2 linked regions of the Lonchura striata genome follow. The protein of the gene in region 2 purifies or fractionates together with the protein of the main gene of each other region. This does not show direct contact. Links are inferred from orthologs where the notes say so. Each region holds a gene or a part of one and is shown on either strand. Other genes may lie near its edges. The genes, in order: DNA repair protein XRCC1 and CHD1L.

Region 1 (15,052 bases), on a different chromosome or scaffold from region 2:
CTCCCAGGTGGGCGTGGCCACAAAAATCCTCTGGGTGTGGCCAAAGGGGCGTGGCCTGGATGGGTGTGTCCCCCAGGTGGGCGTGGCCTATCGGGGCGTGTCCCCAGGTGTGTGTTTCCCCCACAGGTGCCCCGAAATGTGCCCAGGTAAATGCCCAGGTGTGATCCCATCCCCACCCAGGTGTGCCCAGGTGTGCCAGGTGTATCTCAGCTGTGCCCAGGTGTGATCCTATCCACCCCCAGGTGTGTTTTTAACCCTCTCAGGTGTATTTCAGGGACCCAGGTGTGCCCAGGTGTGCCTCAGGTGTGCCCAGGTATGATCCCATCCCCACCCAGGTGTGCCCAGGCGTGTTTTTATCCCTCTCAGGTGCATTTCAGGTACCCAGGTGTGCCCAGGTGTGTCTCGGTGTGCCCAGGTATGCCTCAGGTGTGCCCAGGTATGACCCCATCCCCCCCCAGGTGTGCCCAGGTGTGTTTCTATTCCTCTGAGGTGTATTTCAGGTACCCAGGTGTGCCCCCAGGTGTGCCCAGGTATGCTAGGTGTGTCTCAGGTGTGCCCCCAGGTGTGCCCAGGTGCATATCAGGTGTGCAGGTGTATCCCTGGTGTGCCCAGGTGTATCCCAGGTGCCCCCAGGTGTGCCCAGGTGCACTCACGGCCCGCAGCTCATCCTCCTGCCCTCCCTCTGGCACGCCCAGATCCATCCAGGTGCCCCCAGGTGCCCCCAGGTGTGCCCAGGTGTGCCCCCAGGTGTCCCAGGTGCGCCAGGTGCACTCACGGCCCGCAGCTCATCCTCCTGCCCTCCCTCTGGCACGCCCAGATCCATCCAGGTGTCCCCAGGTGTGTTTCTATCCCTCTCAGGTGTGCCCAGGTGTGCCCAGGTGTATCCCAGGTGTGCCTGGTGTATCTCAGGTGTGCCCCCAGGTGTGCCCAGGTGTGCCAGGTGTATCCCAGGTGTGCCCCCAGGTGTGCCCAGGTGTATCCCTGGTGTGCCCAGGTGTGCCCAGGTGCGCCAGGTGCACTCACGGCCCGCAGCTCATCCTCCTGCCCTCCCTCTGGCACGCCCAGATCCATCCAGGTGCCACCACGACCCCGCCCTGCTGCCGCGCCCGCGCCGCCTTCGGCGTCCTGGCGAACGCGCACCTGCCCAGGTAACACCAAAAAAAACCCCAAAAAACGAATTAAACAAAATTAAAAACCCCGAGCGCGGCCTCCTCCCCGCCCAGGGGGCGTGGCCTCAGAGGGGACGGGGGGGTTCACCTACACCAGGTGAGTGCACTCAGGTGTCCAGTCGGGCCGGTAGTCGGCGCCCAGCGCCGCGGCCGCCGCCCGCAGGTGAGCCCGCAGAGGGTTCTGGAAGCCGCTCAGGGCCAGCACCACGCCCCCCAGAACCGCGCCCCCCGAGTTTTTGGGGGGTCCCGAATTTTTTGGGGAGGGTCCTCCCGGCTTTTTGGGGGGTGCCGGGTTTTTTTGGGAGGGTCCTCCCGGGTTTTTGGGGGTTGCTGAATTTTTTTGGGAGGGTCCTCCCGAGTTTTTGGGGGGTGCCGGGTTTTTTGGGGAGGGTCCCAGATTTTTTGGGGGGGTTTTTTTGGGTTTCTTGGGGGTGGTGCCGTTGGTGGGGGAGGGGGGGGTGGGGGAGGGGGGGGCGGCGCTTGGGGGGCTGTGGGAGAAAAAAAAATGGGGGGGGGGGTGTTCAGGTAAGGTTTGGGGGGTCCCAGGTGGGGTTTGGGGGGGCCCAGGTGGGATTTGGGGGTTCCCAGGTGGGGTTTGGGGGGGCCCAGGGGGGATTTGGGGGGGCCCAGGTGGGATTTGGGGGGGCCCAGGTGGGGTTTGGAGGGTCCCAGGTGGGGTTTGGGGGGGCCCAGGTGGGGTTTGGGGGGGCCCAGGTGGGGCTTGGGGGGTCCCAGGTGTCGTTTGGAAATCCCCAGGTAGGGTTGGGGGGGCCCAGGTGGGGTTTGGGGGTCCCAGGTTGGGTTTGGAGGGTCCCAGGTGGGATTTGGGGTCCCAGGTGGGGTTTGGGGGGCCCAGGTGGGGTTTGGGGGGTCCCAGGTGGGGTTTGGGGGGCCCAGGTGGGGGTTTGGGGGCCCCAGGTGGGGTTTGGGGGTTCCAGGTGGGGTTTGGGGGTTCCAGGTGGGGTTTGGGGGGTCCCAGGTGGGGTTTGGAGGGTCCCAGGTGGGGTTTGGGGGTCTCAGGTGTGATTTCAGGGAGTTTTGGGGTCCCAGGTGAGATTTTGGGTTCCCCAGGTGTGCTCAGGTGAGGTTTGGAGCCCCCCAGGTGTGCCCAGGTGTATTTTGGGGTCCTCCACGTGTATTTTGGGGTTCCCCAGGTGTGCCCAGGTGTGTTTTTCAGGTTCCCCAGGTATACCCAGGTGCATTTCGGGGTCCCCCAGGAGTGCCCAAGGGAAGGTTTGGAGCCCCCCAGGTGTGCCCAGGTGTATTTTGGGGTCCCCCAGGTGTATTTTGGGGTCCCCCAGGTGTGCCCAGGTGTATTTTGAGGTCCCCCAGGTGCATTTCGGGGTCCCCCAGGTGTGCCCAGGTGTGTTTTTCAGGTCCCCCAGGTGTGCCCAGGTGTATTTTGGGGTCCCCCAGGTGTATTTTGGGGTTCCCCAGGTGTGCCCAGGTGCATTTCGGGGTCCCCCAGGTGTGCCCAGGTGTATTTTGGGGTTCCCCAGGTGTGCCCAGGTGTATTTTGGGGTCCCCCAGGTGCATTTCGGGGTCCCCCAGGTGTGCCCAGGTGCGCCTCACCTGTGTGACGTCACTGCTGCCCTGCAGCGCGGCCGAGGCGTAGCTGGGCCCGGGGGGGGCCTGGGCGGGGGCTGGGGGGGGAGGGGAGACCGTGAGGGGTGGGGGAGGGGCTTACCTGGGTGGGGGAGGGGCTGTATGGGGAGGGGGAGGGGCTGAATGGGGAGGGGCTGTATGGGGAGGGGCTTACCTGGGTGGGGGAGGGGCTTACCTGGGAGGGGCTTACCTGGGTGGGGGAGGGGCTGTATGGGGAGGGGCTTACCTGGGAGGGGGAGGGGCTGTATGGGGAGGGGGAGGGGCTTACCTGGGAGGGGCTTACCTGGAGTGGGGGAGGGGCTTATCTGGGTGGGGGAGGGGCTGTATGGGGAGGGGGAGGGGCTTACCTGGGAAGGGGAGGGGCTCACCTGGGGTGGGGGAGGGGCTTATCTGGGTGGGGGAGGGGCTGTATGGGGAGGGGGAGGGGCTGAATGGGGAGGGGCTGTATGGGGAGGGGGAGGGGCTTACCTGGGAGGGGGAGGGGCTTACCTGGGGTGGGGGAGGGGCTTATCTGGGTGGGGGAGGGGCTGTATGGGGAGGGGGAGGGGCTTACCTGGGAAGGGGCTCACCTGGGGTGGGGGAGGGGCTTATCTGGGTGGGGGAGGGGCTGTATGGGGAGGGGGAGGGGCTTACCTGGGAAGGGGCTCACCTGGGGTGGGGGAGGGGCTTATCTGGGTGGGGGAGGGGCTGTATGGGGAGGGGGAGGGGCTTACCTGGGAAGGGGCTCACCTGGGGTGGGGGAGGGGCTTATCTGGGTGGGGGAGGGGCTGTATGGGGAGGGGGAGGGGCTGTATGGGATGGGGGAGGGCCTTACCTGGGGTGGGGGAGGGGCGGCGGTAGAACAGGGCCCCGGGGGGGCGCCGGGGGCTCCCCTCCCCCTCCTGGCGCAGCGTGAAGGGACCCAGGCGGCGGCGCTGGGGGAGGGGCACGGCGGTCACTCGGGGTCACTCGGGGTCAGGGGTCACTCGGGGTCACTCGGGGTCACTCAGGGTCACTCGGGGTCACTCGGGGGTCACTCGGGGTCACTCAGGGTCACTCATTGGTCACTCATTGGTCACTCATTGGTCACTCACTGGTCACTCATGGTCACTCATGGTCACTCAGGGTCACTCAGTGGTCAGTGGTCACTCAGGGTCACTCACTGGTCACTCAGTGGGTCACTGGTCACTCATGATCACTCATGGTCACTCATTGGTCACTCACTGGTCACTCATTGGTCACTCTGGTCACTCAGTAGGTCAGTGGTCACTCATTGGTCACTCACTGGTCACTCAGGGTGACTTGTGGTCACTCTGGTCACTCATTGGTCACTCACCGGGGCCGGGGGCGGTTCCTCGCCCTCCTCAGGGGCCGCGAACACCCGGATGAAGGCGAGGCCGTAGGGGCGGCTCTGGGGGCGGGGCCAACAGGTGAGTCCTGACCAGGTGACCCTGACCAGGTGACCCTGACCAGGTGAGTCCTGACCAGGTGACCCTGACCAGGTGACCCTGACCAGGTGAGCCATGACCGCCCCCCCCCCAGGTGCCCTCCCTGCCCCTCAGGTGAGCCCTGACCCTCCCCAGGTGAGCCCTGACCCTCCCCAGGTGAGCTCCTCCCCCTCTCAGGTGAGCCCTGACCCTCCCCAGGTGCCCTCCCTGTCCCTCAGGTGTGCTCTGACCCCACCAGGTGAGCCCCAGGTGCCCCCTGCCCGCCCAGGTGTGCTCTGCCCCTCCCAGGTGAGCCCCAGGTGCCCCCTGCCCCCCCCAGGTGTGCTCTGACCCCCTCAGGTGAGCTCCAGGTGTCCCCTGCCCCCCTCAGGTGCCCTCTCAGCCCCCCCAGGTGAGCCCCAGGTGCCCCCTGCCCCCTCCAGGTGAGCCCCAGGTGCCCCCTGCCCCCCCCAGGTGCCCCCTGCCCGCCCCAGGTGCCCCCTGCCCGCCCCAGGTGCGCCCCAGGTGCCCCCTGCCCCCCCCCAGGTGCGCCCCAGGTGCCCCCTGCCCCCCCCCAGGTGCGCTCTGACCCCTCCAGGTGCGCCCCAGGTGCCCCCTGCCCCACCCAGGTGTGCTCTGACCCCCCCAGGTGAGCTCCAGGTGCCCCTTGCCCCGCCCAGGTGCGCTCTGCCCCCCCCAGGTGCGCTCTGACCCCTCCAGGTGAGCTCCAGGTGCCCCTTGCCCCGCCCAGGTGCGCTCTGACCCCTCCAGGTGAGCCCCAGGTGCGCCCTGCCCCCCCCAGGTGCGCCCCAGGTGCCCCCTGCCCCTCCAGGTGCCCTCCCAGTCCCCCCAGGTGAGCCCCAGGAGCCCCCTGCCCGCCCAGGTGCGCTCACCTGGCAGTAGGGCTGGCTCAGCACCACCTGCAGCCGGTCCCACCTGGCCGTGGGCGTGGCCGGACGCTTGACCAGCGCCTCGGGCCCGAAGAGCCGCACCCGGCCCGGCCCCGCCCCCGCCCGGCTCTCGCTGGGCGACATCAGCGCCGCGCTGGGCAGCAGCACCTGCGGGCACAGGTAAGGCTCAGGTGTGCCCAGGTACCCCCAGGTGTGCCCAGGTATGGTTTAGGTGTGCCCAGGTACCCCCAGGTGTGCACCCACCTGTGCCCAGGTAAGGTTTAGGTGTGCCCAGGTACCCCCAGGTGTGCCCAGGTGTGTTTTTGGGTGCCCAGGTGTGTTTTTAGCTGTGCCCAGATGTGTGTTTTGGTGTCCCAGGTGTGCCCAGGTGCCCCAGGTGTGTTTTTGGGTGCCCGGGTGTGCCCAGGTGTGTTTTTAGTTGTGCCCAGGTGCCCCAGGTGTGTTTTTGGGTGCCCCAGCTGTGCCCAGGTGTGTTTTTAGCTGTGCCCAGCTGTGTTTTTGGGTGCCCAGATGAGCCCAGGTGCCCCAGGTGTGTGTTTGGGTGTCCCAGGTGTGCCCAGGTGCCCCAGGTGTATTTTTGGGCACCCCAGGTGTGCCCAGGTGTATTTTTGGGTGCCCCCGGTGTGCCCAGCTGTGTGTTTGGGTGTCCCAGGTGTGCCCAGATGTGTTTTTAGCTGTGCCCAGGTGTGTTTTTGGGTGCCCCAGCTGTGCCCAGGTGTGTTTTTAGCTGTGCCCAGGTGTGTGTTTGGGTGCCCAGGTGTGTTTTTAGCTGTGCCCAGGTGTGTGTTTGGGTGCCCAGGTGTGCCCAGGTGCCCCAGGTGTATTTTTGGGCACCCCAGGTGTGCCCAGGTGTGTTTTTGGGTGCCCAGGTGTATTTTTAGCTGTGCCCAGGTGTGTGTTTGGGTGCCCAGGTGTGCCCAGGTGTGTTTTTAGCTGTGCCCAGGTGTGTGTTTGGGTGCCCAGGTGTGTTTTTGGGTGCCCAGGTGTGTTTCTCGCTGCGCCCAGGTGTGTGTTTGGGTGCCCAGGTGTGCCCAGGTGTGTTTTTAGCTGTGCCCAGGTGTGTGTTTGGGTGCCCAGGTGTGCCCAGGTGTGTTTTTGGGTGCCCAGGTGTGCTCAGGTGTGTTTCTCGCTGTGCCCAGGAGTGTGTTTGGGTGCCCAGGTGTGCCCAGGTGCCCACGGGCTCACCTGGAAGTCGCCCCCGGCCGAGGAGCCCAGCAGCACCTCCACGAAGGCGGCGCCGTCGTTGCCGACGTGCAGGGAGTGAATGGGGCGGGTGTCACCCAGCTGGGGGAGCCACCAGTATAAACCAGTATAAACCAGTACAGACCAGGATAAACCAGTACAAACCAGTACAGAGCAGTATGAACCAGTACAGACCAGTACAAACCAGTATAAACCAGTACGGAGCAGTATGAACCAGTGCAGACCATTTCTGCCCCACTCAGGAGGAGCCTCCCAGTTCCCTCCCAGTCCCTCCCAGTTTATCCCAGTCCCTCCCAGTTCCCTCCCAGTCCCCGCCAGTCCCTCCCAGTTCCCTCCCAGTCCCTCCCAGTCCCTCCCAGTTCATCCCAGTCCCTCCCAGTTTGTCCCAGATTATCCCAGTTCAGCCCCACTGCCCTCCCAGTTGGTCCCAGTTTGTCCCAGTCCCCTCCCACTACATCCCAGTAACCCCCAGTCCCCTCCCAGTGCCCCCAAACCCCCTCTCAGTCACCCCCAGTCCCTTCCCAGTCCATCCCAGTTTATCCCAGTCCATCTTAATCCCCTCCCAGTTTATCCCAGTTCCCCTCGATGCCCTCCCAGTCCATCCCAGTCTCTCCCAGTCCATTCCAATCCTCTCCAAGTGTATCCCAGTTACTCCCAGTCTATCCCAGTCCCTCCCAATCCCCCCAAACCCTCTTCCAATTTATCCCAGTCCCCCCCAATCCCCTCCCAGTTTATCCCAGTCCCTCTCAATCCCCTCCCAGTCCACCCCAGTTCATCCCAGTCCCTCCCAATCCCTTCCCAGTCTATCCCAGTCCTTCCTAATCCCTTCCCAGTTCATCCCAATCCCCTCCCAGTTTGTCCCAGTCCATCCCAGTCCCCCTCAATCCCCTCCCAGTCCCCGCCAGTCCCTCCCAGTTTATCCCAGTCCCCTCCCAGTTTATCCCACTCCTCTCCCAGTCCCTTCCCAGTTACTCCCAGTCCCCGCCAGTCCCTCCCAGTTTATCCCAGTCCCTCCCAGTTCATAGTTCATCCCAGTCCCAGTTCATCCCAGTTTCCTCCCAGTTTATCCCACTCCTCTCCCAGTCCCTCCCAGTTCATCCCAGTCCTCTCCCAGTCCCTCCCAGTTCATCCCAGTCCCCTCCCAGTTTATCCCACTCCTCTCCCAGTCCCTCCCAGTTAACCCAGTCCCCTCCCACTTTATCCCACTCCCCTCCCAGTCCCTCCCAGTCCCTCCCAGTTACCCCCAGCCCCACCTCCAGCACCACGCTCAGCTGTTTCTCGCCCGCCGCCGCTCCCCTCCACTTCCCGCCATCCTCGGGCCGCAGCAGATTCTCCGCCGGGTGCCGCTGCGGACGCACCGAACCCTCAGAACCGAGCCCCGGTACCGCCGAGCCCAGCCCGGCTCCTCCCGAACCTCCCCGGGACCCACCGGGTCCGCGCTGGTCACCGACACCACCCGGGCGAACGGGATCTCCGCCATGAGGGCCGCGCCGGAAGTCCCCTCAGAGCGGCACCGGAAGCCGCCTCAGCGCCGCACCGGAAGTCGCCTCAGCGCCGCACCGGAAGTCGCCTCAGCGCGCCCTCCCGGGCCGCTCTGCTCCGCGCGACTCTGGGGCTCCATAGCGCGCGCCCATTGGCTGCGCGCATGCGCGGGGCGCGCTCTACCCGCGCGTCCTCCCAGCGGAGTTTTTCCCGCCTTTTTCCAAGCGCGGGAAGCCGTGAGGGGAAAGGAAATAATTAAACCTCCGCCAGGGTAATTAAGCTTCATTAATCCTTAGGGAAAGGCAATTAATCACGACTTGGCGCTAATTAAGACAAAGAAAAGGCGCTTTGGGCTGTTTATTAGCGCGGGGGGAGCCGCCTCAGAGCCGTGAGGGGAAAGGAGATAAGGAAACCTCGGCGAGGGTAATTAGGCGTCATTAATTAACGAGGGGGGTCGTTAATGAAGAGCAGCACGAGGCTCCCAGTGCTCCCAGTTTATCCCAGTAAGCGGCCGTACTCAGCCAGGGCTGAGGATTTCTTCACCCCGTCCCAAATGCGGGCGGCGTAGTGGAACCTGCACCAGTATGGACCAGTATAAACCAGTATATACCAGTATAAACCAGTACGGACCAGTATAAACCAGTACGGACTGGTACAGGTAATGAGCACCCTCCCAGTTCCCCCCAGTTCGCTCCCAGTCCCCTCCCAGTTTATTCCAATCCCCTCCCAGTATAAACCAGTAACCCCGAATCCCCTCCCAGTATAAACCAGTCCCCCCAAATCCCCTCCCAGTATAAACCAGTAACCCCAAATCCCCTCCCAGTATAAACCAGTAACCCCGAATCCCCCTTTAACCCTTTCCCAATCCCCTCCCAGTTCCCCCCAGTCCCCTCCCAGTATAAACCAGTCCCTCCCAATCCCTTCCCAGTTGCTCACAGTCCCCTCCCAGTCCCTCCCAGTATAAACCAGTAACCCGAAATCTCCATTTAACCCTCTCCCAGTTCCTCCCAGTCACCCCCAAACTCCTCCCAGTCCCTCCCAGTATAAACCAGTAACCCCAAAACCCCATTTAACCCTTTCCCAGTCCCTCCCAGTATAAACCAGTACCCCCAAACCCCCTTTAACCCTTTCCCAACCCCTCCCAGTCCCCTCCCAGTATAAACCAGTTACCCCAAATCCCCTTTTAACCCTTTCCCAACCCCTCCCAGTATAAACCAGTGCCCCAAACCCCCTTTAACCCTTTCCCAGCCCCTCCCAGTCCCCCCCGAAGCCCTCCCAGTATAAACCAGTCTCACCAGTTGCGCTCGGTCAGCAGGCTGTGGGATAACTGGGAGCGCGCGGCCGCCAGGACCCTCCCCCGCAGCCGGGCCAGGAGCCCCCCCAGCCCCCCCCGGCCGCGGAACGGGGGCAGGGCCGGGAACAGCGCCCCTCCCCCACCTGCGGGGTTCGTACTGGTTTGTACTGGGATAAACTGGGAGGGACGGGTTTATACTGGGTTTGGACTGGGAGGGGGTTTGGGGAGCACGGGGAGGGACTGGGACGTACTGGGATGGACTGGAATGGACTGGGAGGGGGTTTGAGGGGGCTGGGGTGGGTTTGGAGGGGATTGGGGTAGACTGGGATGGACTGGGATATACTGGTTTATACTGGTTTGGACTGGTTTGGACTGGTTTATACTGGTTTGAACTGGTTTATACTGGTTTGGACTGGGACGGGGTTTGGGGAGCACCGGGATGGACTGGGCCATACTGGGATGGACTGGGAGTGGGTTTGGGGGGGGTCTGGGGTGGGTTCAGAGGGGACTGGGATATACTGGGCCATACTGGGATGTACTGGGATGGACTGGGAGGAGGTTTGGGGGGTCTGGGGTGGGTTCAGAGGGGACTGGGGTGTACTGGGATGTACTGGGCCATACTGGGATGTACTGGGATGTACTGGGATGGACTAGGAGGGGGTTTGGGGGGGATTAGGCTGTACTGGGATATAGTGGGCCATACTGGGATGGACTGGGATGTACTGGGAGTGGGTTTGGGGGGTCTGGGATGGGTTCAGAGGGGACTGGGCCATACTGGGATGTACTGGGCCATACTGGGATGGACTGGGATGGACTGGGAGGAGGTTTGGGGGGTCTGGGATGGGTTTAGACCGGACTGGGCTGTACTGGGATGGACTGGGAGGAGGTTTGAGGGGTCTGGGGTGGGTTCAGAGGGGACTGGGCTGTACTGGGTTGTACTGGGGTGTACTGGGCCATACTGGGATGGACTGGGATGGACTGGGAGGAGGTTTGGGGGATCTGGGGTGGGTTCAGAGGGGACTGGGCCATACTGGGATGTACTGGGATGGACTGGGATGGACTGGGAGGGGGTTTGGGGGGAATTAGGCTGTACTGGGATATACTGGGCCATACTGGGATGGACTGGGAGGAGGTTTGGGGGGGTCTGGAGTGGGTTCAGAGGGGACTGGGATGTACTGGGCTGTACTGGGAGGGGGTTTGGGGGGGATTAGGGTGTACTGGGATATACTGGGCCATACTGGGATGGACTGGGATGTACTGGGATGTACTGGGCTGTACTGGGATGGACTGGGAGGAGGTTTGGGGGGTCTGGGGTGGGTTCGGAGGGGACTGGGCCATACTGGGCTGTACTGGGCCATACTGGGATGTACTGGGCCATACTGGGATGTACTGGGCTGTACTGGGATGTACTGGGAGGAGGTTTGGGGGGTCTGGGATGGGTTCAGAGGGAACTGGGGTGTACTGCGTTGTACTGGGCCATACTGGGATGTACTGGGAAGGGGCCCAGGGTGCCCAGGGGCTGTCTCTGGGGACCCGCACTGGTCCGTACTGGTCCGTACTGGTCCGTACTGGTCCGCACTGGTCTCACCTCGGGGCAGGGCGTCCTCGGGCTCCTCCTCCAGGGGCGGCAGCAGGAACAGATTCACCTCGGGCTCGGGGGGGGGCCCGGGGGGGAGGGGAGGAGCTCCCGCATGGACAGCGAGCCTGGGGGGCCAAAATCACCCCAAAATTATCCCGAAATTATCCCGAAATTATCCTGAAATCATCCTGAAATTATCCCGAAATCATCCTGAAATTATCCCGAAATTATCCTGAAATCATCCTGAAATTATCCCGAAATTATCCCGAAATTATCCCGAAATTATCCCAAAATCATCCTGAAATTATCCCAAAATCACCCCAAAATTATCCCAAAATTATCCTGAAATTATCCCGAAATTATCCTGAAATTATCCTGAAATTATCCCAAAATCATCCTGAAATTACCCCGAAATCATCCTGAAATTATCCTGAAATTATCCTGAAATTATCCCGAAATTATCCCAAAATCATCCTGAAATTATCCTGAAATTATCCCAAAATCATCCTGAAATTATCCTGAAATTATCCCAAAATCATCCTGAAATTATCCTGAAATTATCCCGAAATTATCCCAAAATCATCCTGAATTTATCCTGAAATTATCCCGAAATTATCCCAAAATCACCCCAAAATTACCCCAAAATCATCCTGAAATTATCCCGAAATTATCCTGAAATTATCCCAAAATCATCCTGAAATTATCCCAAAATTATCCCGAAATCATCCTGAAATTACCCCGAAATCATCCCGAAATTATCCCAAAATCACCCCAAATCACCTCAAAAATCGCCCCCAAAATCACCCTAAAAATCGCCCAAAATCACCCCCAAAATCATCCTGAAATAATCCCAAAATCATCCTGAAATTATCCCAAAATCATTCCGAAATTATCCCAAAATCACCCCCAAAATTACCCCAAAATCACCACCAAAATCAGCAAAAATCTCCCCAAAATCCCCCCAAATCCACCCCAATCCCCCAAAATCCCCCCAAAATCCCCCCAAATCCCCCCAAATTTCCCCAAATCCCCCCAAAATCCCCCCAAAATCCCGCAAATCCCCCCCAAAATCCCCCCAAAATCCCCCAAAATCCCCGAAAATCCCCAAATTTCCCCAAATCCCCCAAAATCCCCCCAAATCCCCCAAAATCCCCCCCAAATCCCCCCAAATTTCCCCAAATTTCCCCAAAATCCCCCAAAATCCCCCAAATCCCCCCCAAATTTTCCAAAATCCCCCCAAATCCCCCCCAAATCCCCCCAAATCCCCCCAAATCCCCCCAAATCCCCTCAAATCCCCCCAAAATCCCCGAAAACCCCCAAATCCCCCCAAAATCCCCCAAATTTCCCCAAATCCCCCAAAATCCCCCAAATCCCCCCCGAAATCCCCCAAATTTCCCCCAAATCCCCCCAAATCCCCCAAATCCCCCCAAATTTCCCCAAATTTCCCCCAAATCCCCCCAAATCCCCCCCAAAATCCCCCCAAATCCCCCAAATTTCCCCAAAATCCCCCCAAAATCCCCCAAATCCCCCCAAAATCCCCCAAATCCCCCCAAAATCCCCCAAAATCCCCGAAAATCCCCAAATTTCCCCAAATTTCCCCAAATCCCCCAAAATCCCCCCCAAAATCCCCCAAATTTCCCCCAAATTTCCCCAAAATCCCCCAAAATCCCCCAAATCCCCCCAAATCCCCCCGAAATCCCCCAAATTTCCCCAAATTCCCCCAAAATCCCCCCAAATCCCCCAAATCCCCCAAATTTCCCCCAAATCCCCCAAATCCCCCCAAAATCCCCCCAAATCCCCCCAAAATCCCCCCCCAAAATCCCCAAATTTCCCCAAATTTCCCCAAATCCCCCCAAAATCCCCCAAATCCCCCCAAATCCCCCCAAATTTCCCCAAAATCCCCCAAATCCCCCCAAAATCCCCCAAATTTCCCCAAATTTCCCCAAATCTCCCCAAATTTCCCCAAATTTCCCCAAATTTCCCCAAATCCCCCAAATTTCCCCAAATTTCCCCAAATTCCCCCAAATTTCCCCAAATTTCCCCAAATCCCCCAAATTTCCCCAAATTTCCCCAAATCCCCCCAAATTTCCCCAAAATCCCCCAAATCCCCCAAATCCCCAAAATCCCCAAATTTCCCCAAAATCCCCCAAATCCCCGTACCGCGGTACTTGAGGCGCGAGTGCGCCATCAGGCGCCCGAGCACTCGCTGCATCTGCCCCACGCGCCGCGGCGAGAACGACTCGGGGGGCGCGCGGGTCTGCACGAACACTGCGGGCAGGGGCACACCTGGCACACCTGGCACACCTGGCACACCTGGGCACACCTGGCACACCTGGTAACCCCAATTCCACCCCAAAAAAACCCAAAAATCCCCTAAAAAACACCCAAAAATCCCAAAATCCTGGGGCTGTTTTTAGCCTGGGGTGGAGAGAACTGATCTGGGCACACCTGGCACACCTGGGCACACCTGGTAACCCCAATTCCACCCCAAAAACCCCAAAAATCCCCTAAAAAACACCCAAAAATCCCAAAATCCTGAGGCTGTTTTTAGTTTGGGGTGGAGAGAACTGATCTGGGCACACCTGGCACACCTGGGCACACCTGGCACACCTGGTAACCCCAATTCCACCCCAAAAAACCCCTAAAAAAACACCCAAAAATCCCAAAATCCTGGGGCTGTTTTTAGTTTGGGGTGGAGAGAATTCACCTGGGCACACCTGGGCACACCTGGCACACCTGGCAGCCCCTAAAAAACCCCAATTCCACCCCAAAAAACCCAAAAATCCCCTAAAAAACCCCAAAATCCTGGAGCCATTTTTAGTTTGGGGTGGAGAGAATTCACCTGGGCACACCTGGCAGACCTGGGGAGGGTCAGGAACTATGGGGCAGATCTGTGGGCCAGATCTATGGGTCAGGATCTATGGGGCAGGTCAGGATCTGTGGGTCTCACCCAGGTGTGGGTCAGATCTATGGGTCAGGATCTATGGGTCAGGTCAGGATCTGTGGGTCAGATCCGTGGGTCTCACCCAAGTGTGGGTCAGATCCGTGGGTCAGATCTATGGGTCAGATCTATGGGTCAGGTCAGGATCTATGGGTCAGATCCGTGGGTCAGGATCTATGGGTCAGGATCTATGGGTCTCACCCAGGTGTGGGTCAGGATCTATGGGTCAGGATCCATGGGTCAGATCCGTGGGTCAGGATCTATGGGGCTCAGATCAGATCCATGGGGCAGGATCTATGGGTCAGATCCGTGGGTCTCACCCAGGTGTGGGTCAGATCTGTGGGTCAGGATCCGTGGGTCTCACCCAGGTGCGGGTAATACTCCGAGGGCTCCTCGGCTCCGGCCCCGCTCGACTCGTGGCTCGGCGACGGCGTCGGTGGCTTCACCATCTCGGCCGTCTGCAGGAACCTGTGGGGCAGTTATGGGGCACTTGTGGGGCACTTGTGGGGCGGTTTGGGGCACTTGTGGGGCACTTTGGGGTGGTTGTGGGGCAGTTTGGGGCACTTGTGGGGCGGTTTGGGGCACTTGTGGGGCACTTGTGGGGCAATTTGGGGCAGTTTTGGGGCGCTTGTGGGGCACTTTGGGGTGGTTGTGGGGCGCTTGTGGGGCACTTGTGGGGTGGTTTGGGGCAGTTTGGGGCACTTTGGGGCAGTTTGGGGCACTTGTGGGGCAGTTTGGGGCACTTTGGGGCAGTTTGGGGCACTTGTGGGGCAGTTTGGGGCACTTTGGGGCACTTGTGGGGCGCTTTGGGGCAGTTTGGGGCAGTTTGGGGCACTTTGGGGCACTTGTGGGGCAGTTTGGGGCACTTGTGGGGCAGTTTGGGGCACTTGTGGGGCGCTTGTGGGGCGCTTTGGGGCAGTTTTGGGGCGGTTTGGGGCAATTTAGGGTCACTTTAGGGTCATTTTTGGGCAGTTTTGGGGTCACTTTGAGGTCAGTTTTGGGCTCATTTTGGGTCATTTTGGGGTCAGTTCTGGGGTCACTTTGGGGTCAGTTTTGGGTCAGTTCTGGGGTCACTTTAGGGTCACTTTTTGGGTCACTTTTGGGGTCACTTTTGGGGTCATTTTGGGTCATTTCTGGGTCACTTTAGGGTCATTTCAGGGTCATTTTTGGACCAGTTTTGGGGTCACTTTGGGGTCATTTTGGGTCAATTTAGGGTCAATTTTGGGGTCACTTTTGGGTCAGTTTTGGGGTCATTTTGGGTCACTCTTGGGTCAGTTCTGGGGTCACTTTGGGGTCATTTTGGGTCATTTCTGGGTCACTTTAGGGTCATTTCAGGGTCATTTTTGGACCAGTTTTGGGGTCACTTTGGGGTCAGTTTTTGGGTCAATTTAGGGTCAGTTTTGGGATAATTTTGGGGTCAGTTCTGGGGTCATTTTAGGGTCAGTTTTGGGATAATTTTGGG
Region 2 (15,104 bases):
TTTCCTAGTCAAGATAAAAGCTGGTTCTGACTGAAGTGTAATGTTGCTTATTACTGACCTGGCTCACTCTCCTTTTCAATACCTTGGTAATACTCAACAAACTCTTTCACTTGTTCCTGAGGAAAGATGTCAGGTTCAATAAGGCTGAGTAAGGAGTACAGTTCCTGCAGGCTGTTCTGGATTGGAGTGCCTGTGAGTAGCAGGCTGAAGCCTATTGAGAACTGAAAAAAAAAAAAACCAGCAATAAAACAAAATTATTAGGAAAAAGTATCTGCAAAGAAAAGTTAGTTAATATACAAGTCCACCCACGCCACTCTTAGGCTTAACTTAGAAGATGAGTGGCAGCACAGAACTGCTTGCAGAATGCTGCAGATTTGCCAAAACTATTCAAACATGAGGTATGGTGTGACAGTCAAACAGCTCCAAACTGACTAGGCTGGCACCAGTGCAAGGAATTCAGTGTAAGCAAAATAAGAACAAAGTACAAAACTGACTCCATTAAAATGCTCAGGTCCATGCAGCCTACAGTCTAATACTGCACACTAGATGTTAGATAAGGAGGGATAACGGGAAAATGCAGTTGGAATAGGACCGTGAAATGAAACTGTGTCAGACTAAGTTCCATTTCTGTTTGCTGGGTAACTCTGACAAACATAGGAACATTATCAGGTCCATGTTGCTCACAGTAACCCCCATAAAGAGACTTGGGAAATACATTTACCTTTGGAAAGATACAAATTTATCTCAAGTTTGGTAATAGAAAATAGGTTAGGAGGAGAGATGAGATAAGTCACATCTATTTTTTTTTTTTTGTGATTATAACCAAAGCTCCTGAATTATAGACATCATGGACAATATATTCAGAACATGTAAGACTTTCAGGAATTCAATAAAACCCCCTATTTTCCAAGGTGTATTGTATGCATTGTTACTGATGCCAGCACACACCAAATGCTTATGTTTCACTGCCATTACAAGAAGTGCAGCCTTCACTCAGGCATTTGTGCTGCTCTGACAGGGCAGGGTATTTTGGAAGCTGGAGGAATTCTCCTAATCCCTGTGAACAAGGGTGGCTCCATTAAATGGGACAGTGGAAGTCAGTAGCTCAAGACTTGAGCTCTCATTAGCTAGACAAGGGCTCCTTCACCCTGCCAGAGCTAGAGATGGCCTCTTGTTGCTTAGGTCAGCCAGACATCTACTTCTGCAGTAGCACAGCTGTGGTTCAGCACCATGTCTGGCTGTTTTACTTTTTCAAGTCTTTCAAATTGCTCCAACATGGCAAGCCCAAACATGAAGCAGAATGAGAGGGAAGCTCCAAATACTGCCCACCGCCATGCAAAGCCAACAAGGCCTTTATCTCTCTGCCACTAAATATGGGAATCTTTTCAGCAGCCCTGATGGAAACAAGTGATGATTCAGAGTTTAATGCTCTGGGAACAAACAGAGAATCTGAAAAGAGAAAGGTCTTAAGACACTAGAAGATAGATTAGTTACTTTACCTCAGAAAGTGTCTTGTAAAGCAGAGAATTTTGATTTTTCAGTCTGTGAGCTTCATCTACAACCAAGGCAGCCCAGTTAAAGCTGAACAAGCAAAAAAAAGCATCTTCAGTTAGGGGCTGACAATTCATTCTTGTAAGTACAAAAGGACCAAAGTAAGTGGCTTGGCTCAACTTGAGGTGGGGTCCTATCCCATGAACAACCAGCAAATATCAAAAGTGGGGTAGAATTCACAGGTACTGTTTTTTGAAGAGCTGACGCAGTTTTTTAACTATAGTCTGGGTGAGTTTTTTCTGAAATCAAAACTAACAAAATTCACTTGAATTTTTGCTTCTCTCTCCACCCGTTACTACCAGGAAAATGACATAAACACAGGTTTGTTGAACATTCAAAGAGGTCTCTGATTTGGAAAAAGACACATGAAACTAGGCCCTAGCACCTGTGCAAAAACGTAGCAATGATCATGAGGCAGTGACGGAAGAGTGATCCCAAGGCTTTTGCAAATCACCCAACACAGGAGCTTCAACTTATTCTGTGTTCATACAGCTCTATGCAGAGAGTCCTCTAGCAGGCTGCAGTATCACTGGTGATCCAGTAGATGCACTAGGCTTAATTGAAACTCCACATCTTCTCAAGACCCAGTGTTTGTGCCTCCTTATCACTAGGGTTTCAACTTCCACATCGGAGTAATTTCCAGGGGAGGGAAAGCATGAACCTCCATCTTCTCTCACCCACACACTTCTCCTCCCAGTGGAATACAACATCTGAAACCACCGTGACCTACATTCTTCCTAAATAGCCTGTTTGCCTTGATTTTGCTCTCTGCTATATCAGAGAGGTTCTCCATTGCCAGAACAATCAAGTGTGTCATTACTCTTATTCTATGAGCTCAGGAGCTTAATTGCAGGACTCTGCACTGTGAAGCACTGCAGAACCTCATGTGCAGAGTGGAGTCTGATCCCCCATCTATTCCATTAGAGCATGGCTCTTGCTCAACTCATTTGTGCTGTTACACTGCTTGTAGGGAGTAGTGGTGGGGAGACATCTGATAACTCTGACCCTCCTTTACAAAGTGCTCCAAATGCTCCCACACAGAACAAGGTACAAATGATTAGCAACCACTTTTTTTCAAAAGAGAGACTAAAGGGCAAAACTCTGAATTTGAGTGATATGGCTTTGAGGTTATTTGTTAGCTTTAGAAATAGGAAATTACTTGGAGCTGACACTTTTGTGATACTAGGGCTGGCTACGTGCTCTCCCTGGGTGCTACATACCTAGGCTACACTTTAAAATAAACGGAATAATATGCGGCAATGCAGAACGTGATATGAAACTGTAAGGACAATACAGTCACGGCTATCTTTCATTAGACCTGGTTTCTACTATGATGTGTAGACAGTCTGCTACTTCCAGCAGTGGCCAAGGACAGGTGCTTTGCTGAAAGACAGGAGGGTGCCCATTGTAAGCCTGACTAGTCCTGACAGACACAAAATTGTGCCAGCAGGGGACACTGAATTTGTGCTTCTACAAAGATACTGAGCCATTCATTATGTACAGCTGCCCCCAGCATTTGTCATAGCACCATTGCGAGGCACTGGCACTTCTGCTAAGAAAAAAGGAAAATTCCTTCCCATTTCAAGTGCAGATGCCTGTGGAATTCTGCATAACCATGACAGTACCTCCTACAGGCTGAATTTCAGCTGAATAATCAGGCTTTGTAGAAGGTGTAATGTTTCACAAGCCCTCCACAGCTTTGACTGTGAGGCAATAAACTTCAGGACATGGTATTAGCACATTATCACTGTTATATAACGCAGGTCAGTTTCAGTGAATATTGCAACTAATACCTTTATAACTTGAAGCTCTTGAGGATATCCTCTGCTGGACTGATACTTAATGTACTGCTGTAAGTCACTGTGTCACATTGCTTTGAGTTAACTGGCTTGAAAACTGTCCTTGGGGGAAGTTCACATATATTTTAGCTGATATTAAAGACTGAAAGTTGGAAAAGACAAAATTCTGATCACAAGCCAATAACATCCCTGTCTCTTGTGAAACAACACAGAGTCTTACACATAGAAATATCCACTTAAGAAATCATTGACAGCTATCCAGACTTAAATTCAAAGAAATTAAAACCAGACTCACGACTTTAGAAATGCTGCATCTTTCAGGCAAATCTGCAATGAAAGAAAATGGACTGTGATTTGTGATTTAAGTAAATACATCAGTTAAGAAACAGAGCATTTTTCTGTCTGCCTGCAAACTATGGTGAAATGGAGCAGAGTGGAACGAAGGCACTTACTACCTGAGGAAGAAAAATGACAGTTACATGACACCTTCAGCATGTCATGGCTTAACATCACACACCCTCTCACTCACACCCCACCCATGAAGAGGGGGGAAGAGAATTGGAAGTGTAAAAGTGAGAAAACTTGTGGGCTAACAAGGCATGAACTGGGTGGTACAGAGGAATAAAAAAGGCTAGAAAAACTTGCGTCCCCCTTTCAAGTGACAAAGGCATCACGTACCTCGTATGTTGTCAGAAGTGTAGGGAAGTGAGAGTCCCCTTTCAGATTCTCTTGCAGTTTGGGTCGCTCTTCCTTGCTGCCTACATAGGATATGAAAGAAAGACCAGGAGCAAACCTGTTGTTAAGAGAAAGACAGAAAAAACAGTGAGCCAAGCTAAGTCTTTTCATGTGTTTATGACCCTGGACCTCACTGCACAGATGATGAGAATTCCTGTCCAAACACCCTACACTCCTGTGAGATGTGTCTGGCTCTCAGCTTTTGAATCTCACTCCTCCATAATTTTCACCTCAGGTTGGCACTTCCACTGTTGGCTGTGGTTTCAACAAGTCCTAAATAAACCTGCATTCTTTTAGGTGTAAGAGTCCAAGGCAGATGATTCAAAACCAGTCTCATGACCTAACTGCTATTCTGAACTGAAAAATGTTCATAAGAAGCAGGTGAATGAATACAGTTGGCCCATATAAGGCCAAAGAATTGGCCTAAATAATTCTAAAATAAAGACAAAAATGTTTGCAGCAAAGAGGTCCAAGTCAGGGTCTCAAATATATTCTCTCAGTCAAAAATCAGTTCCAATTGTAGGGACCATAAAATTTCTCCTAATTTAATCCCATCACTATTATTTACCTAATACTCCTTCTGGAAAGCTGCACTGTTGATCTATGAAGGACTGCAGTTTCTCCCAACTATTCCAACCCAAAATCTATCCATATCAGGCCAGCTCACTTCAGAATGTAACCTGCATGACTTCAGATGCAGAGAGACAGCATCAGCTGACAGCCACACAGACAGACTTCTGTTCTAACCTTTAACTTCTAGCCCTTCCTCTTACAAAGAGTCTGTGGGCTACAGACCAGAAATGTACATATTTCAGGCACAGCAGATACACATCAGCACTGTCACCCCAGTGAGGATGGGCTGCATGCACAGCTGTGATGTATTTTGATGTATTGTGTGTGATGTATTTTGTGTGCATATGTAAGCATGCCCCCAAACTTGGGTCTTACCTTTTATTATGAAGATTCCTAGCTGTCTTCAGCAGATTTTGCCTAAGAGAGGCTGAGCAGGGAGGGTTGCAAATCAATAAAAAGCAAGGAGCTAGTGGAAGCATTTAGACTGAAAGTCAGCCAATAATATAGGATGGATGGGTTCATGTATACCACAGCATTGTAAAGACTATGCATTAACTGCATAGTCTGCATTGATTTGTTGGCTTAGTAGCAGCTTCCCTTTTTACTTTCTTTCCCTTTGAAAGGATAAAAAGGAAGTATTGGAGTGAGCACATTTGAAAACAATCTCTGCAATCTTGCAACTTGCAAACCTTGCAATTGCAAGTATGAGCAATAATACAGTAAACCAGACAACTGTTGAAACTTACCTCTCCAGCTCTTCCTTCCAGTTGCTCAGAACTGACAGAGGACAAAGTATCAGAAATCTCTCTTTGTTTGATAACTTTTTTGTCAAATAAAGAAGTAGAGAAATGGTCTAAAAGGCAAGGAAAATATTTTTTTATAACAAGGGAAGGGTTCAACCCGATAGCCTGATCCTACATAGCTGTCTCCTTGCTGAGCTTTGCAGATAGTTTCCATAGGTTCATTATCACAAATCAGAGTTAAGAGAATATCAAGTGGGATACAGACAAAAAGGCTTAAATCCTAAAACATGACCTCCATATATGAAGCCCCTTTCTTGCACAGTCACAAACCTGGTCTACCATGCATCACTTTCTAAAACTATTTGTAATTTAAGCCCTATTGAATAAAATCAGCTGATCCAAAGCACAGTCATTTTCCAAAAAAACTTAAACCCACTGAAAAACTTTAAAAAAATCCAACAAACTTCTGAAAAAATTAGACTTATACATTTTAATCCATATGCTGACAAACACAAAAACCCCCTGGTGCAAGTGCATCAAAAGGACATTATTTTGCCTGTACTGGCTGTGTATTGTGCCTTCAGCTCTGCACACTATGAATTATGCATTAAGATGTTTGGATAAAATGGCCACTCGTCTTTTTACAAAACCCTGAAACCCATTTGGTGTTACACAGGACTTAACTCAGGACTGGTTTTAAGTGGTTAAGGACTGAAAGAGACAATGAGCTCTCACTTGAGTATGGAATTCTGAAGGAGTGGGGGGGAATCAGTAAGGTACTTTTTCAATTTGCAGAAATACTAAGCTAAAACCCCAAAAATTTAAGCAAAGATAATTTTCCAGAAGAAGAAGACACACCTGACAAGTCTTCCCAAGGCCCATCTCATCACCCAGGATACAGCCATGCTGGACTTCATAGCATTGCACCAGCCAGTTTACACCTTCTAATTGATAGGGACGAAGTTTAATGCCTGGGAATAAAAGTGATTTGTTACACTTACAGTCACTTAATGCATTCCATACACACACTAGGAACAGGTCCTGCCCAGAACATATGCCTTACAGGAAAAGCACAGCAGCATTCAGAAGAAGCTAGTTTACCTTCCTGGATAGCAAAGACCCCAATGTAATTGCAATTAAATTAAAGTATATTCAGAAACTTGCACAAAAATGCCCTGAGCCATGGCAGTCAAGGAGCCATCCTTGACTGTGCAAAAGACCTGACCTAGTAATTAGGCTGGTACTTTGCATTCCTAAAAGAAAGCTTAATTTTCAGCCTGAATCACTTTTTAAAATATTAAAGTAAGTATTAGAGCCAGGGACATGCTTTAGGCTACCAGAAATACTTCTCACAATCTATTATTGTATAATAATAATTTCTTAACAAGATGTTTTCCATTTTTCTCTACTTAAAGCCAAAGCAGACCTCCACTATAGGCCACTATGACTACTACCACCATTGCAATCCTTACTATGGGGCATGATATGTCAAAATGAATACAAAACAAATCACATAGGAGTTGGCAAGACCTTTCCTTGTGCTTGGACTCAAGTGCTGTGTATTCTGGCATTGCTGCCCTCTCCTCCCTGGGAAAATGTGCACACTGCGTGCATGAAGTAACTCACCAGCCCGCAGGCTACACAAACCCAAACCAGCCCAGGGACTGAGGTGAGGACTTCCAGCACCTAAGGAAAATGTGTGGGCAGGATGGATTGCCCTGGCGTTCCCCTTTAACATCACCCTCCAGGCAGCCGAAAGCACTTTAATTGACATCCACTTCCAGGCCACTGAATAGGCCAACCCTTGCTCACCTTATCCCCGAAGCACAGAGCTGCCTGAGGCTGTGCGGAGGCACCAGGAGGGTTTAAGCCAGGCTCAGCCCTGGCCCAAACACCACCTAGCCACAAAGCCAGGCAGAGGGACTACAGCACCCAGGGAAGGCTGGCACAGAGTATGGCAGCAATGCCATCTCTGCAGCAACTGCAGCTCACTTTGACACGCTTGGGAGCCAATTTATTTGCACCTTTATTTATTTCCAGCCTAGGGGGGGTGTTAGTACAGAGCTCAGACAACTCAGAGAACTGAGGTTGTCCAGGCTGGACAACAGAAGGTTTCCTGGTGACCTACTTGAGGCCTTTCAGGAACTTTCAGGAAAGATGGGCAAGACTGTTTACAGGAGCCTGCAGTGACAGGACAAGAGGGAATCTGTTCAAATTGAAACAGAATATATTTAGAATAGACATTAGCGGAAAAAAAATCTTTACTGTGAGGATGGTGAGCCACTGGAACACGTTGCCCAAGGAAGTTGTGGATGTCCCATCCCTGGAGGTGCTCAAGGCCAAGTCGGATGGGGCTTTGGGCAACCTGGTCTAGACGGAGGCGTCCCTGCTCACGGCAGGGGGGTTGGAACTGGATAATCTTCAAGGTCCCCTTCCAACGCCAGCCATTCAGTGAGCTGGGCAGCCCCAGGCAGCGCGGGCCCCTCCCGCCACCTCTGACAGCACCGCACCGCTCAGGCTCCCTGCCGCCCCTTTCCCCCGCTCCCCGCTGACCTGTCAGCCCCCACCGCTGCACGTCCGCCTCCTGCACGCCCGCAGCCCCGGCCCGGGCGCCGCCGGCGCGGCGGAGCGCCCGGGAGAAGCGGGACATGGCGGGGCGTCAGTCACCGCTCCGCCGCGCGTTCCCGCCGCCCGAGCCCGGCTGCGGGCGGGGCCAGCCCCGGCTCCGCCCCGGCAGCGGGAGGGCTCGCCCGAGGGAGCGCCGCGATGGCGCCGCTGCTGCTGCTGCTGCTGCTCGCGTCGCTGCTGTCCGCCGCCGCCGCCGCCTACCTGTGCTGCGGGCGGCGGCACACGGGCGGCGCGGCGGCCGTGCTGCACCGCCGGGGGCCGCGGCAGGCCGGGCCGCCGGGCCCGCCCCGGGACACCGTGAGCGCCGGGCCGGGCGGGGGGCGGCGGGCGCGGGGCGGCGGGGCCGGCGCTCACCTCGCTTCTCGCCTTCTCTCCGCAGTGGGCTCCGAGGCTGTGCGGCGCCGGGCTGCGCCTCTTCGTCCATGTGGCTAACACGGTGAGTGCGGGCCGGGGCAGTGAAACCCGGGGCCGCGCGGGGAGAACCGGGCGGGGGCTCCGGGGCGCGCCGCGGTGGTTGTGGCTCTCTGCGGGCTCTCGGGTTCACCGGGCTCTATAGGTGCGGTGCCGTGGCACTGCGAGCGCCGGCCTCTGGCTGAGAGAGTCCTGTGTGTCTTCGGGTGTGGAGAGCCCAAAGCTGACATCAAACTCGGAAGAGAGCTGCCGGCCGCGCTCCTTGGCCGCCGAAGGACTCGTGTCCCTCAGCCCTGTGAGGGGGTCCCTGCAGGCTGCTGAAGGCAGCGGCGCTCCCCAAGGCTGGGCTCTGGATGTCCGGGAGCCGGCGGGCTGATCCCGCTGCGGCACTGGGCCTCTCGGTGTCGTGGTGCAGAGGGGACAAAAGTCTGCATCCCCTGCGCACTGCCCACCTCGCACCTGCTTCTGCTGGCAGCAGCTGGGTCTATGCCTGCTGCTGTTGCTCGGCCTTTCCTTTTGAGCGAAGTAGGCACAAAAGTTTCTTTTCAGCCGTGGCACCTGTTACAAAGCTTGGTGTCCGTCTGGGCCTGGCGTGAAATGCTTGATGGGCTGTGTTTATTTGTGAGAATACCTTAGGAGTGGCTTTCTGTCAAGATGTAATAAGCAGAGTACTTTGTTGTCTTTCGTTTTGTGGCTGCTTCTGATGCATGGCAGAGGGCTTCTTTCCTTTCCCAATACCTCACTTGAAGGGGAATGTGAGATGTTAATTTTCCTACTGGATTGTGCTGTGCTAGGTCAGATGTAGATTAGGAACCATGTGTTTTCAAAAAGGTCTGTAATTCTTATGCAGTGCGTGAGGTGACGTGCTGCTTTGTGGGACTGGCAGTGTGAGCCTTGCCTCAGACTTGTACTGTATTTGTACATCGTACAACATGTATCTGAAGTCCATTGTTAAGATATTAAGACAGGCCAGAACAAGGCTGGTCTCTTTGGGACTGTTGATGCTGCTACTCTGGGAGCCAGGGTATGGAAAGATTGTTTTCTGCTGTCTGCTACCATAGAGTTTCTAAATTTCTCACACTTTTCCAAGTTGACTCATGTTACTGTGGGAGCTGGTTGAGAGATAGGCAAGGTCCTAATAGTAAATAAAATAATAAGCTCCTACCTTATCCAATGTTTGCATAATCTGTGGAACATGATGAAAATAACGGATGGGAGCTATATAGATGCTTCTTAACAGTGTTGCATCTGCAGATGCAGGCTTTCTGTAGATGCAGGGAAAGATAAAGGCAGAGGAATCAGAAGAATACTCTTTTTATAATTATATAAATATGAGCAGTGGAGGGAAAGTGTTTCAGGCCATTTTTTTGGTGTAGAATACAAATGTTTGTGCTGTTTCTCTACTGCATAGCATTGTATGTTCTCTAGCGTACTCTGAGCCTGTGGCAATCATGAGCATATTCAGCATTCCTTATCTAGTGAAAGAAGGTGTCAGGTCAAAGTTGCTGCAAACCAACATTTTTGCTTCCTTTTTTCCTAGGCTTTTGGGCAGATTTGCTTATTGCCATTCTTAATGAGGTAAGCATGGGGACTTTTCTCCCACTCTGAGTTTCTTATTTTTTTAGGTTTAAGGTATTTGCATTGCACACTGCTTGTAGGTTATCTGAAATTGTATTTTTTAAAGAGAAGAGCTGCATAATTTGATTACAGAATAAGATTACTTCATAGATGTTTGCTAGATTATTTTTTTAACTACTGTCATTTGAGTGGGTCTCTATGAGAAGAAAATAGCTTTTTTCACACTCATGCAGGTGCATAGAAACTGTATTCATCAGCTTTTCTTTTTGCCTTTTGTTTGCCTTCATGTCTCTTTGTCTTTGCTCTTTTGTTAAAGGACAGTCTTTTTTTCAAGGATGGTGGATGTGCAAATATGCTGTTCTTATCACTGATAGGGTTAAAAGAATAGTAGTAGTGAGAAAGTGAGGCCAGACATAAAGTTCAGAGGTTTTGGTGAGTTCTTTTTAATTATGTTCTCTTGTTTTAGGTCAGCTTTTCTTCTTTCTTTCATATGTGTTTTTGTTCAGAAACTGATTTCAAGAACACATTCCATGAAGAGATACTTGGGTAAGAGGTTCAGGAACCTCTTCATGCTTTGTTCGTATAGTTTGCCCATCATTTGAAGGGTCATCTGTGCAGATCCCAGGACACTGAGAACTGTGTCACCCCTGAATTTGACTTGGGATGTGGGCTTTTTGAGCAAATCAAATCCAGGCAAGTGTCACTGCTATTATACTGCAGATCATTCCTGGATACCTGTGACAGGGTTTTGATCTCCTTGCTTTGCTATGGATTTATGCTGCAAGCCCTGTTGTATTTGGTTGCAAACAAATTATGTTGAAAGAGGAAATGGAAAAGTCTGAAGAGGTGCTTGTTTTAACAGGATTAGTGGTTGAATGTATGGCTTACACTACATTCTTCTTTTATTTTCCTTTCCATTCCTGTCTTGTTTGGTCTGTGTATGAGAGGTCTAATTAAAGTGAATCAAAAACTTCCACCGTTTCTTTCCCAGCTCGAGTTTACAGAGCTTTATGTCAAGAGCCTTATATCAAGAGGTAGGAGGCTTTGTTAAACAGGCAGAATAGATTTGATGCTGCCCTTAGGAAATATGCAAGAGAGATTAGCTTGTAGCTGTTGCAACTCCCTGCTGTGAAAGCAGGCTGCTAAGACAAAATGTTCTTGGGTAAGGTTCCTTCTGAACAGTCTGAAAAATTAGTCATAGTTGAGGTTGAAAACTCCAGCAGTGATTCTCTCTTATTCAGAATGAACAACTTCTCGCTTATGCGTTCCCTTGACATTCATGAAGATCCCACGTTTATCCCGGAGGTTGCTGCGGGGGTTGCAGAAGACAAGTCTGAGGCTAAAAGCCCTTCAGATGTTATCAAGGAGCTGACAGATGCAAGGTCAGTATGTGATGTGTAAGAGAGAAGTGGAGATGAATACACATGCTGGCAGTGGTACTTTAATGGGAAGCTGTCATTGTCAGCAATTTAGATTAAATTCTTGTTTCCATGCCCAGCCACTTCACAAAACAAATAGTGCTGTCAGTCATCTTGCCTTTTGTAACTTACAAATCACCAGCAATTACAAGCAATGCGAAAGAGAAAAGTCTATTGGGGAGAGACCAAATTCTGCCCTTACCAGGGCTCTGGTTGCACGATTACAGCAGGTACACTTAGTGTTTGGCTAGTTAGTAAATAGATTTCTCTAAGTGACTTTACAGGAGTGCTGTTTCTAGCCTCCAGGGAATCTCAAAGAGAACACCAGGTTTTCTTGGAGGAGAGAAGGAACACAGGTTCTAAAGAAAATAATGCACAAGAAATTAGCTTTGTTAGTGATGAGAAGTGGCCTACTGTTTATGTGCTAGAGCCATTTGGTGTTGAAGCAGTTTGCTTGTGTGTGCTGCATGGTGCCTTTTCCCACTCCTGCACTACACACCCAGATGTGCTGCTGGCTGTCTCGGGATTGAATTTTTGACAGAGGTCTGGGAGTAGGTTCAAAAGTATATTCCAGCTAGGCTATAGTGTTGTAGTGGTGAGTAGGAAGTGTAAATCTGGAATACATTTTGAACAGTTTAATGACTGCTGTATTTCAGTAGGAATATGAAGAAACTAGAACATTCTGGCAAAATTGGTCCCTTATTTCTGTGGCATCCATAGTGTGCCTGTTGCCTGGCTTGTGTGCAAGGAGTCTGACAGAGTGTGAGGGGCAATGCAGGGGTTAGCAATTCACGTGGTTTACTGTGAATGGTACCCAAATCTGCATTGGACAGTGATGCTGAAGTCTACAGGTCTGAACAAACCTGGCTTTGGTGGCTCACAGTTACACCTTTTAATCCTTTCTTTTGCAGGTCTGATTCTGCTAGGAACGGGTTTAGCTTCAAAGAGATCAAAGACTATCTGGAATGCTACCGGTAGGTGAAATTATGGTCTGGAAACAACCTATCCCACATGTTTCTCTGCTGTGGGCTGCCACTGTTCCACAGGCTCTCAGGAATCTCTTTGTTAGCATTGTCCTTGAGGTGCCATTGTTTATCATCACTTCCTGCTGTTCTTTCCCTTTAGTAGAATAACAAAGGAAAGTCATCTGGGAGAGCTGGCACAGCTTTATAAGCCCTGCAAGAATATTTAAATACCATTTTCTTTGGCTTACTCTCTGTCAGTCTTGTTCGAGAGAGATTTCTACATATCTTGTTTACTCAAACATGAGTGAGAAGTAGATGAGGGTTGATCTGGATTATGCCAGTTGTGCATACTGTGGGTCTCTGATGAATCCCTTGGTTCCCCAGCTCCCTGTGCGTCTCTGAGCATGACACCTGCTTTCACCCAGTAAACATGTCCAGCTTGGAAAGAGCTGAAAACACCCCCCTGACTCTGGGGTTCTGTGAGCTGTTGGCTGCCTGGTAATCCTAGTTGCCTCTGGGGCATGTGCCAGAAGTGGAGCCCTTGGAAAAATATCCTTGCACTCCTAGAACTTGTTCCTCAAGGGCCACCTCTGCCCAGGCTGTGGCATTGGAGCAAAGGGCTGACACTGCAGTCTGCTGTTACAGGTGCATCTTGGCTGTGAGGCTTTTGTGTCAGCCAGGAATGGTGTGTTTGTGGTGTAGCAGTCTTTGCCAGGAGGGAAGGAAGGTTTATTAAAGGTGGGTTATGACAGTACTGCTGGCAGCCCCTTCTGTGTAATGGGAGGCCTGTATAAAGGGGTCTGACCTCTTGGTCTTAGCTCATTATATTGGGAGTTTCATAGTTTCCAAGCTTTCAGGAGCTTGAGGACTGTCAAGCTGTCAGCTGTGTGTCCCTGTTTATCTGTGGTGGTTCAGGAACATTTAGGTTAAACTCACCTAGGTTTTCCCCTCCTCTAAGGAGCATTCTGTGTAGGCAAATTATCCCCTTAAGGAAAGGAATCTCCTGTCCTGATGTTGTCAACAGTGTTCAGATCATCACCACACAGAGATTCTTACCTAATTCTTGCTAAAAGCTGTGACAGCTGCCATCTTGCTGCATGGGAGACAAACCCTGTGAGTGGATATGTGAGGGGAGGTCTTATAACAAACTCCCAACTTCTCCTGTCCTGTAGGAGTGGGAAGCTGACGCCATCCCAGGTAGCCAAGAACATCATTGCCATGTTGGAGGATTGTGACAAATCCACGCCACCGCTCAGAGCCATAGTGCAATGGGACCAGGAGCAAATAATGCTGGTAATGTCTGCCTCTGGTAGGAAAGGGGCCTCTGCCACCCCAAGGGCAGTAGCATCCATAAGAAGAGCCAGTATGCACAGAAAAATAAGTAAATTTTTCATTCCTCTGTGTTTAGAGGACTACAACAAGTTTGCTTTCCTTCCTGCAAAGAGAAGTAGCATTAAAGCAATGTTTCCTGCTGAATGACTGTTTATAATAGGACTTCTGTGCTTATGTGGCATCTATTAGTGTAGATAGTTCCAAGTTGTAGTTTCTCACCAGCATATGGTGGAAGAAGAAAACTTTGATAGGCTGGCCAAGAAAGCCATTTTTAATATCCATTCCAATACTGATTATGACCTTCAGCTCAGTGAAATATATATATATATATATATAGCATATGCTTTATGCTTTTTCTTTTTCTCTGCAGATGGCTGAGGCCTCCACTACTCGTTACAGAAATAAGTGTACCCTGTCTTGTCTGGATGGCATCCCAGTGTGCCTGAAAGAAGAGTTCAAAGTGGTGAGTTTCCTTGTCTAGCTGCCAGCTCCTGTTGCAGGTGGTTAACCTGGGCAACTCACTGTGACAAGGTTTTGAGACCAACTTCTCAGCAGAAGCCTGAGAATATGTTTGTAATGAGGGGTTGTATGTGGGTTTGTAGTGAGTAGGATTAACAAGTTTTGCAGGGTGAAGGCAGATTTTGCATACAGCAGACGTGTTCCATATCTTGTACTGATCTCTTTAATCCACAAGGAATAGAGGGTGGGTGTGGGAAACAGTCTCTTATGATGAAATGAGAATGTATAAAAGCATCTGTACAGTGGGTGTAACTGTCTGTATTTCTCAGGCCCTGACTCCACTCCACTGGCAAAGCATCCCTGTCCCCTTAAAATACATGTGCCAGAAATACGCAAGTTCCTTTGAAAATTCCCATTGACAAAGATTTTTACTGTGGCCTAACAACAGCTAGCAGTAACTACTTGTGGCAGTGCCATCAGGCTGTTGTAGGCTCTGCAGAGACCTACCCCTATGGTGGGTGTCCTGTTTATGTACAGATTCTTCTGTTGCTGCCTCGAAGTAGAGTAGTTAGCACATCCTGAAAATAAGCCCATCTGTTGTTTTGGCATTCAACTAATCTTGATGTCAGGCTTCAAAGCATGCAGATCTGAAATGCTGTAGCTCTGTCCATACAAAGATGGAGCACAGAGCTGTGTGCTGTGGGGCCAAGTTGATCTTCAGCCTCTGGGCATAGCAATTGCATTGCTGCAGGGAGGCAGCTTTGATCATCCACATGCTCTACTGTATCATGGTATGAAAAGGACTCCTCTGCATGGGAGAATGACCAAATATTGAAGGTTTAAGTGTCCCTTCTGACAGAGACCATCACAGGACAAGCTGAAGAGTGGTGCTGCCTAGCCCTTGCTTACCTC

Evidence for each region.
Region 1: the proteins of CHD1L (region 2) and DNA repair protein XRCC1 purify together in Homo sapiens (affinity purification with mass spectrometry; 3 studies listed by BioGRID and IntAct, counting the BioPlex papers as one, with this or other methods). This does not show direct contact. The link is inferred for Lonchura striata from reciprocal best matches to the Homo sapiens genes CHD1L and XRCC1.

Annotation. Positions count from the first base shown.
Region 1 is NC_134639.1:73,784-88,835, reverse strand, and holds the start of DNA repair protein XRCC1, read right to left. Parts: upstream 7,916-15,052; coding exon 7,855-7,915; intron 7,796-7,854; coding exon 7,548-7,795; intron 6,376-7,547; coding exon 6,277-6,375; intron 5,239-6,276; coding exon 5,074-5,238; intron 4,165-5,073; coding exon 4,090-4,164; intron 3,689-4,089; coding exon 3,589-3,688; intron 3,080-3,588; coding exon 3,058-3,079; intron 3,017-3,057; coding exon 2,965-3,016; intron 2,813-2,964; coding exon 2,742-2,812; intron 1,658-2,741; coding exon 1,262-1,657; intron 1,141-1,261; coding exon 1,024-1,140; intron 1-1,023. UniProt on the Homo sapiens protein: Scaffold protein involved in DNA single-strand break repair by mediating the assembly of DNA break repair protein complexes. Negatively regulates ADP-ribosyltransferase activity of PARP1 during base-excision repair in order to prevent excessive PARP1 activity.
Region 2 is NC_134604.1:26,876,346-26,891,449, reverse strand, and holds the start of CHD1L (chromodomain-helicase-DNA-binding protein 1-like), read right to left. Parts: upstream 8,089-15,104; 5' UTR 8,052-8,088; coding exon 7,955-8,051; intron 6,373-7,954; coding exon 6,260-6,372; intron 5,512-6,259; coding exon 5,405-5,511; intron 4,144-5,404; coding exon 4,029-4,143; intron 3,678-4,028; coding exon 3,646-3,677; intron 1,582-3,645; coding exon 1,500-1,581; intron 222-1,499; coding exon 59-221; intron 1-58. Other genes in the region: uncharacterized protein LOC110480871, read left to right, coding at 8,168-8,326, 8,409-8,465, 9,981-10,018, 11,260-11,400, 12,348-12,410, 13,574-13,694, 14,104-14,196. UniProt on the Homo sapiens protein: ATP-dependent chromatin remodeler that mediates chromatin-remodeling following DNA damage.